2 linked regions of the Danio rerio genome follow. The main gene of each other region encodes a partner of the protein of the gene in region 2 in a complex. Links are inferred from orthologs where the notes say so. Each region holds a gene or a part of one and is shown on either strand. Other genes may lie near its edges.

Evidence for each region. The genes of interacting proteins can lie anywhere in the genome.
Region 1: the proteins of cstf3 (region 2) and cstf1 are in contact, whole or in part, in a crystal structure (PDB 6B3X), measured with the Homo sapiens proteins. The link is inferred for Danio rerio from reciprocal best matches to the Homo sapiens genes CSTF3 and CSTF1. Residues at the interface, in NP_001317.1 of Homo sapiens: Tyr581, Pro582, Lys583, Pro584, Asp585, Thr586, Gln588, Met589, Ile590, Pro591, Phe592, Pro594; in NP_001028693.1 of Homo sapiens: Arg118, Glu216, Ala217, His226, Pro227, Ser228, Asp230, Phe231, Thr240, Arg242, Leu243, Tyr244, Cys251, Phe252, Val253, Ser254, Cys255, Tyr270, Ser272, Ser273, Ala274, Asn275, Gly291, Val292, Ser293, Asn294.

Annotation. Positions count from the first base shown.
Region 1 is NC_133186.1:29,932,409-29,936,166, forward strand, and holds the start of cstf1 (cleavage stimulation factor subunit 1), read right to left. Parts: upstream 2,619-3,758; 5' UTR 2,377-2,618; intron 2,250-2,376; 5' UTR 2,229-2,249; coding exon 2,060-2,228; intron 1-2,059. UniProt on the Homo sapiens protein: One of the multiple factors required for polyadenylation and 3'-end cleavage of mammalian pre-mRNAs. May be responsible for the interaction of CSTF with other factors to form a stable complex on the pre-mRNA.
Region 2 is NC_133193.1:48,719,486-48,723,143, reverse strand, and holds part of cstf3 (cleavage stimulation factor subunit 3), read left to right. Parts: intron 1-1,510; coding exon 1,511-1,543; intron 1,544-3,331; coding exon 3,332-3,429; intron 3,430-3,658. UniProt on the Homo sapiens protein: One of the multiple factors required for polyadenylation and 3'-end cleavage of mammalian pre-mRNAs.

The DNA of each region.
Region 1 (3,758 bases), on a different chromosome or scaffold from region 2:
ATATGCATGACGGCTATATTGTCCAGTCCACCCTTGTCACACTAAGTCTGATTTGATTCTAATTTAATAACACACACTTTTGTGAAGCTGCTTTGGAAGAATAATTATGGTCAAAAGCCTATGTATAAACTTGAATTGAATATTAAATGTATGGTGCTTTTATTACAACTCTGATAAAATATTCATCTTCAAAAATAAACTTACATTCGTTTAATTTTAAACAATGATAAATGTGGCTCTTTTGATTTTTCTTTTAAATTATGTACATTTTTATTAATGCATCTGAAGAATTTAATGTATTTTTGCTGAAAACCAGTATGTGTTATTTTTTTCTATAAAATAAAAAACCTTGCAAACCCCCAAACTTACCGCTACTGCTAAAGATCTTCACAGAACTTATTACACCTTGGCGCGTGTCTTTACTGACTGGTACAGTATGGTAAGGGTCGGTACGGGTCTCCTTTATCAGGCTTGCATTTCCACTGCCAAAAGGGTACTATAGGTACCCTTTTGGTGAACATGGTGCATGACAAAGTTTCAGACAACATCATTTTTACTCGAAAAAATGTCTACAGTAGAGCTGTATGGATCGTTCACATATCTTATGAAAAGCACTTCTCAAAGTTAGAACATATAAATACTTGTGTATAAATGTTCATTACTAACTTTTCTATATAGATGCTTTGAATAAAACTGCAAATCAATGATAGGGTGAAATGGCCTACTGTAATATCTGCAATTATATGAAATAAAAAAATGCCACATATACGACACATACAGACCCTTACAGGCTCCGATATGTTACTGATTACAGAAAAACTACACATAGCATACATTTAGTCCTTATTTAGGTTCAAAAACAACATATAGCCCAGTCAGTGCAAACCTCTCATCTGTATCTTTAATCTTCACCAGCACATGTAACCTCTGAAGTAGTTTGAAAGGTGATGAACAAACTGCCATGTTTAACTTTTATCATGTTTTAGGTTGCAGAAAGAATAATTTGCTGCTCGTTTTTTCCAGCTTCTCCTTTGTTTTTTCTCGTTTCACTCTCACTTTGTCCGTTTCTGAAAGTCAGAAGCACTTAAATAACCACGAGCATGTTATTAATTAGAGCTCAAGAAGTTTTTTTATTTCAAATATAGACGTGCGGTGAGGTCTCTGAAGAAACTGAAACCGCTCACACTTTTAGACGGGCTCGAAAAACAACAACAGGACATGGCAGATTTTGTTCTTCTTGGCTTTGTGGCCGTTCATCAAGACGACAACAAGGTTTGTTTAAGCTTGGATTGACCATGATTCGTTATTATGTGTATTTATTAGTACGGTGCAATGTCTTGGCTGTGTTTTTAAAAATGGTGGTTCCTTTGTTTTCATTCTCCTGGCTTGTGCACAAGCATCTCTGTAAACCAATAGCATTCAGCTGTGTGTCTAGCTCAGGGGTGGGCAATCTCGGTCCTGGAGGGCCGGTGTCCTGCACAGTTTAGCTCCAACCCTATTCAAACAGACCTCCCTATAGAGTTCAAGTGATCTTGAAGACACTGATTAGTTTGTTCAGGTTTGTTTGACTAGTGTTGGAACAAAACTCTGCAGGGAGACCATGACTTTTACAGACCCTTGTGGGTTTTTCAAAAACTTTTCCAAGCCTGGAAAGTGCATTGTCGAAATTTCATGACTTTGCAGGTTTTTCATGACCGTATGAACCCTGTGCAATATTGAGAGAAATTGATTGTGCTCACGCCTTTACACATTGTAAACTGATCTATATATGTATGTTTATATGCTTTTCATGTAAGGAAATATGTGACCAGTCAACTATTCATTTAAGTTCTGATATGTTATTGTATTTTTTGTTTGTCATTATTTATTATTTGTATTTTTCTTTTTCTTCCTTAAAAAATAGATATAAAAATAAAGTATTGAAAAAAGAATTTGCAAAGAACACTTGTCTGAAATTCTATTTATTAATGAGAAAATCTAAATGTGGGAATATAACACCAACTTTAGCCCAATGGACTAAAAGTGTGAGAAGGTTTATTTGTGCGTGCTGGAGTCTCACCTATCTTGGCGAGCTGCATGAGCTGCTCTGATGGAGAAACCACATTCTGCGGCTTGACTTCACTGATGAGGCTGTTGGCGATGTTGGTGTATCCGTCATACAGCAGTTGACTGATGATCAGCTTGTACAGATGCTGTCTGTCCTTCAGTGTGGGTTTGGGTCGAAACATCTTGACTGCTTGATGCCTGCACTTTAGAGGAGGAAGATAAAACGCCTTGTTAGCAGATAGTTTTGTGTTTTCGAGCTGCCTAACAAGACAACACGCTTGGTGGCGGTTTTAAAAAGCTGTTTAAGTATGAAACTTAAGGTAACGTTACATGGATTCAAAACACAGCCATTGTTGTGTACGTTAAATCTTTATAGCTAACGTTATAAAACAGCTTGTATTACATGCGACGTATAAAATGTATCCAGTGTCTGCTTTTGCGTTAAGTAAGAATTAAGGTTTGAAGTGAGCAATAAATACGATACAAAGTGAGTATCATTCATTTAAAGTTGCACAAAATCGACGACTTACCACTTCAAGGGATGTGCGCACACGTTCTGTGCGTCTTACGTCAAGACGTACACGTAAACCCGTTAAATTAAAAGTCTCTAAATGTGTCAAAATAAAAGCTCGACTAAAGGTTTTCATTGAATTTTGGTAAATGCTCTCTTTGTAACTGACAATATATTAATATAAAAACATAATGCGAATAAAATTTTCATTTTAATATAGCCTACCTGATCTGCAGATATGCTTATCAATTATTAAGTTGATATACTTTGAATTAACGGACACACGTTAGTGACGGCATTTTGTATCATTTAAGGGCAAAGGAGACAGAACTTGTGTGAAAATAAACACATTTTCAAGATTTCTTGACAAACATTTACACTTTTCATATTGTTCTTGTTTATACATCAATTAGTTGATTCCCAAATATTAAAGAAAACGTGAACTTATCACTATATGACATATCACTATATTATAATATTATCAAATAGTATTTTTCTGATTTGATGTAAATTTTTATTGACTTTTACTATTTGATTTGTCCTTGATCAAAAATGAGGAAAAAAACAGCCAATTATCTGTTCATGATGGATATCCCGAACCCAAAAACCTTTTATAAAATGCTTACTTATCCACATATATCATTTTGCTCAAATATTTAGGGAAAATGTAATATATTTTTTTTTGTTATTATTTTATTTCCTCAAACATACATTAAAAATGCAAACATTCTTGTTCTTATCAACAACTTATAATATTTGTAAGTTTTGAAATTTGTTCACTATTTAAATTGTACTTATTTATGAAATTCTTGGGCAAATATTATGAGCTTTAAAAGTAAAACAAATTGAATGTTGTCTTTTCCTCATCATTTTTATAATCAAAAAATATTATAAATTATTATTATTACCATTTGGGGCGACATGATGGCTCAGTAGTTAATACTGTCGCCTCACAGTGAGGTCAATTTTCGTTTTTGTGTTTGCATGTTCTTTCAGTGTTGGTGTGGGTTTCCTCTGGGTTCTCCGGTTTCCCTCACAGTCCAAAGACATGCGCTATAGGTAAATTAAATAAACTAAATTGTGTGTATGTGTGGAAATGAGTGTGTATGGATGTTTCCCAGTACTGCGTGGCAGCTGGAAGGGAATCCGCTGAGTAAAACGTATGCTGGAATAATTGGCGGTCTATTCTGCTGTGGCAACC
Region 2 (3,658 bases):
TTTTGTGTGTAAATAAAATCACTTAAATTTATCTTTTAATCAAGGCCTTAATCACAAAGCTACTTGTTTTGACGTGGAATTGTTTCACACAGACTCAAAGGGTTTATAGATTGCAGATTTTTGTATTCTTGCAGTACATCTGCACTCCTGAAACATTTAGTGAAATCATAATTTTGCCGTGTCGGACATCATGATACCAATCAGTGGCTCCATTGATCATCTGTTATTAATATTTTGGGAAAATCTTCACACACTTTATTTGTCTTGCATTTTATTCAGTTGTTTTATTTTTATTCTTTTAGAATACTAAAAAGTGCGCGACTTAGTTTGACTTTATGTCTTTTTCCCCCCCATAAAGACTAGCTCTTTCTACTAGTCCAGTACTAAATAATGCATCTCATGTTGACCTACTGCGCTAGTCATTTTGATCAAGGTAGAATTTAGATTGAAAAATTTAAATCTGTAATTGTAATCTGTGATTTGACACAACATATTTATCTGTTTGTAACAATGGTAACTTTTTTTTTCATGCCATAAATGGCAAGATTAATTTTAATTGTCATACTAAATTTTTTTTTGTAAATTTTTGTAAATTTTTTACATGGGTATATGTATACATTTGCTTGCATGCTGACTTTTAAGACACAACCTGTTAAATTATTGAGAACATTTCGAAGAATCGATATTGTGTGAATATAACCATTGTTGGTTGCATGGTGTTAATTTATAGATGAATGTATCATTTGTGGCTTATCAGCAGAAATAAATTCTTATTATTAAGCCCTGAAGTTATATTTGTCTGTTGTGAGATTTCTGGTTGTTTAACTCTGGCAGTGTTTGAGTATTAGTTTTTTCTGGAAAAAAAAAAGAATAAAAATACAAACTGAATCGTAACTGAAATACTACACTTGTTTTCCCTGTTGTTTTAAGCTGTTGTCATTGTCCGAGTGTAATAATTGACCTAGTTGTAGTTCATAATTGACACCCATCATACTTTTCTAGTTGCTTTACCTACTTTAATGCAGGTGGCTTTGAAAAAAGAAATTGTAGATTGGGGTGTCCAAACTTGGTCCTAGAGGGCTGGTGACCTGGAAAGTTTAATTCCAACCCTAATCAAACATACCTGGACCAGCTAATCAAGCTCCTACTAGACATACTAGAAACTTCCTGCCAGATGTGTTGAAGCAAGCTGGAGCTAAGCTCTGCAGAACATCGGCCCTCCAGGACTGAGTTTGGACACCCCTGCTCTAGATGCATCATGTAACTTTTTCCAAAGGCTTGCACTCCAAAAAGCAGCATTTCAACTAAAACAATACAAAACAATCAGCTAAGTAGTTTTGTCTATCATTTGCACACATAAAATGGATTAAATTGAATAAAGGTTGAGATGAAAATGAAATGCAGGGTTGTGTGAATGTCACATTGTTGACCTCAAAGTGTGTGGAGCCACTCAATTTCACTTCATACGAAAACGTGGTTTAATAATGTTGGTTTTCAAATGTGTCCACAGATCAAGGCTAAAAACTATGACAAGGTTGAAAAGGTAAGCATTTGTTGTCGTATGGCAGCCACGTGTTTAATTTATGGATCGTGTGAAATTGCTGTGACTTGTGACAGACTCATGAACCATAAAATCTGGGCTTTATCTAGGTCACCACTTTAGGTCCTCAGAGTAAACAAAGATGGTGTTAAGGGATTAAACGACGCCTGCTTCGCTAGAAACACCCTGTTTACTCTTCTCAGTCCATCAACGGTCAATATGATATTAAAATATGAGAGGGAAAAAAATATATTTCAGGATGGGGATACATCCGAGTTTGAGATCACAGTTCAAAGACAAAACATCGTTCTGGTTGTGTAGATCTAGGGTTCCCAAGTACTTTATTTTCAGACATGAATCCAAGGCCTGGAAAGTACTTAAAAACAAACATTGGTCCTCGAAAGTGCTTGAATTGAAAGTTTATCTTGTTTTTTTCAACAATTGTACTTTTAAACGGTTGCTTAAAATGGTCAATTGACATTCAAAACCTCATCTTTATGACATTTTAATGTAAATATTAAGTGTAGGTGAAATGTTAAGCTGGGAGGGATTTCCATTACGGTAAATATACTAGGGGTGTGAATTACAAAGGTGCTTGATTTTAAAATATTAGTGATTTTAAAAAGTCCTTATAAATCCTTGAATTTGGTGTCCATTAAAGGGTGGAAACCCTGTAGATTACATTTTTGTTTTTGTTCTTGGTAAAAGAAACCATTTTTCTTATATTTTTTTGCATTATCCTAAATTTATTATAAATGCCATGAGGATATATACTCTAATTATTCAGTATGTGCCATGATATTACAGTTTAATAATCATTGTAAATGCAAAATATTTTGATGCTTGATTATAATTCGTAATATCTTTATGTGAATTTAAATAGTCTAGTATTTGACTTTTTGTTTACCTCAGTCTGGAATCATTTCACAATGCAATTAAAACTAGCATTTATTAACCCTTGTGTACTGTTCAAATTTTCCACCCTTTCGTTATGTTTGGGGCTGTTTTTGCCCCATTTACTTTCATTATAATGACATTGTTTGATTCCAAAGTCATGACAGCATATAATCATGCAATCATGACAGTTGGTAGTTTATCATGTTGGGAAGATGTTGGGAAGACGTTGGGTAAAATTAGAACTTTTTACTGTTGATTATCTTGCAGTGCATAGTAAAGCTTCGTTTCTGCCATATAGATGGAGTATAGTGTGTATGTGTGAGAGCGAGCGAGATTTATCTTTATGTCTGACAAAGTCTAATTAAGCGGCTCAGCTGTCAGAACATGGTAAACATAATAAGTGTATTTTTGTGCACACTATAATCTGCTGTTATTCATATAAAAGCCGGAACGGTTTTTGCACAGGCCTATCTAAAAGGTTAATCTTGCCAACTGATTATCAACAGTAAAAATGACACATTTTTCCTCTTCCCAACGTGGTAAACCACCAACAATCTAGAATGCATGATTACATGGTGTCATGGCTTTGCAATCAAACAATGTCATTATAATGGAAGTCAATGGGGCAAAAAAAGCCCCAAACATAACGAAAGTGTAGTCAATTTGCCCAGAGTATTGAGTTTTGAAAAATTACCAAACATTTTCACAAAATATGTCTCAAAATAAGATTCAGAAATCATTTCATTTGCTAAAACACAGAACAAGCTCGAAAATCACCACAGAGTGGATGAAAACATCCCCAACAGCACACAAGGGTTAAAATGTGTTTCTGCAATTGTTTGTGCTGGGTTTTTGTCCTGTGGGAGTTTGTTCACTGTTCAATGTTTTGCTCAGTTATTTCAAAGGTGCTTGATGAAGGTCCTGCACATTGACCTGTGGAAGTGCTACCTCTCGTACGTCCGGGAAACCAAAGGAAAACTTCCCAGCTATAAGTAAGTCACACAAATGTGTTTCCAACACTTCACAGTTGTGGCAGACAGACTTCTTAATGTCAATGTCTAGAATAAAGTCATTTCATTTCACACTAATATACTTTGTGATTAACTTTATATTTATATAACTTTATATTAGAGGACTCAAAACCATATTTAAATCTAGGAAGCATGTTTATAGTGTTATGAGAATAGGAAGTATTTTAGATACTACCTTATTTCTAGTCAA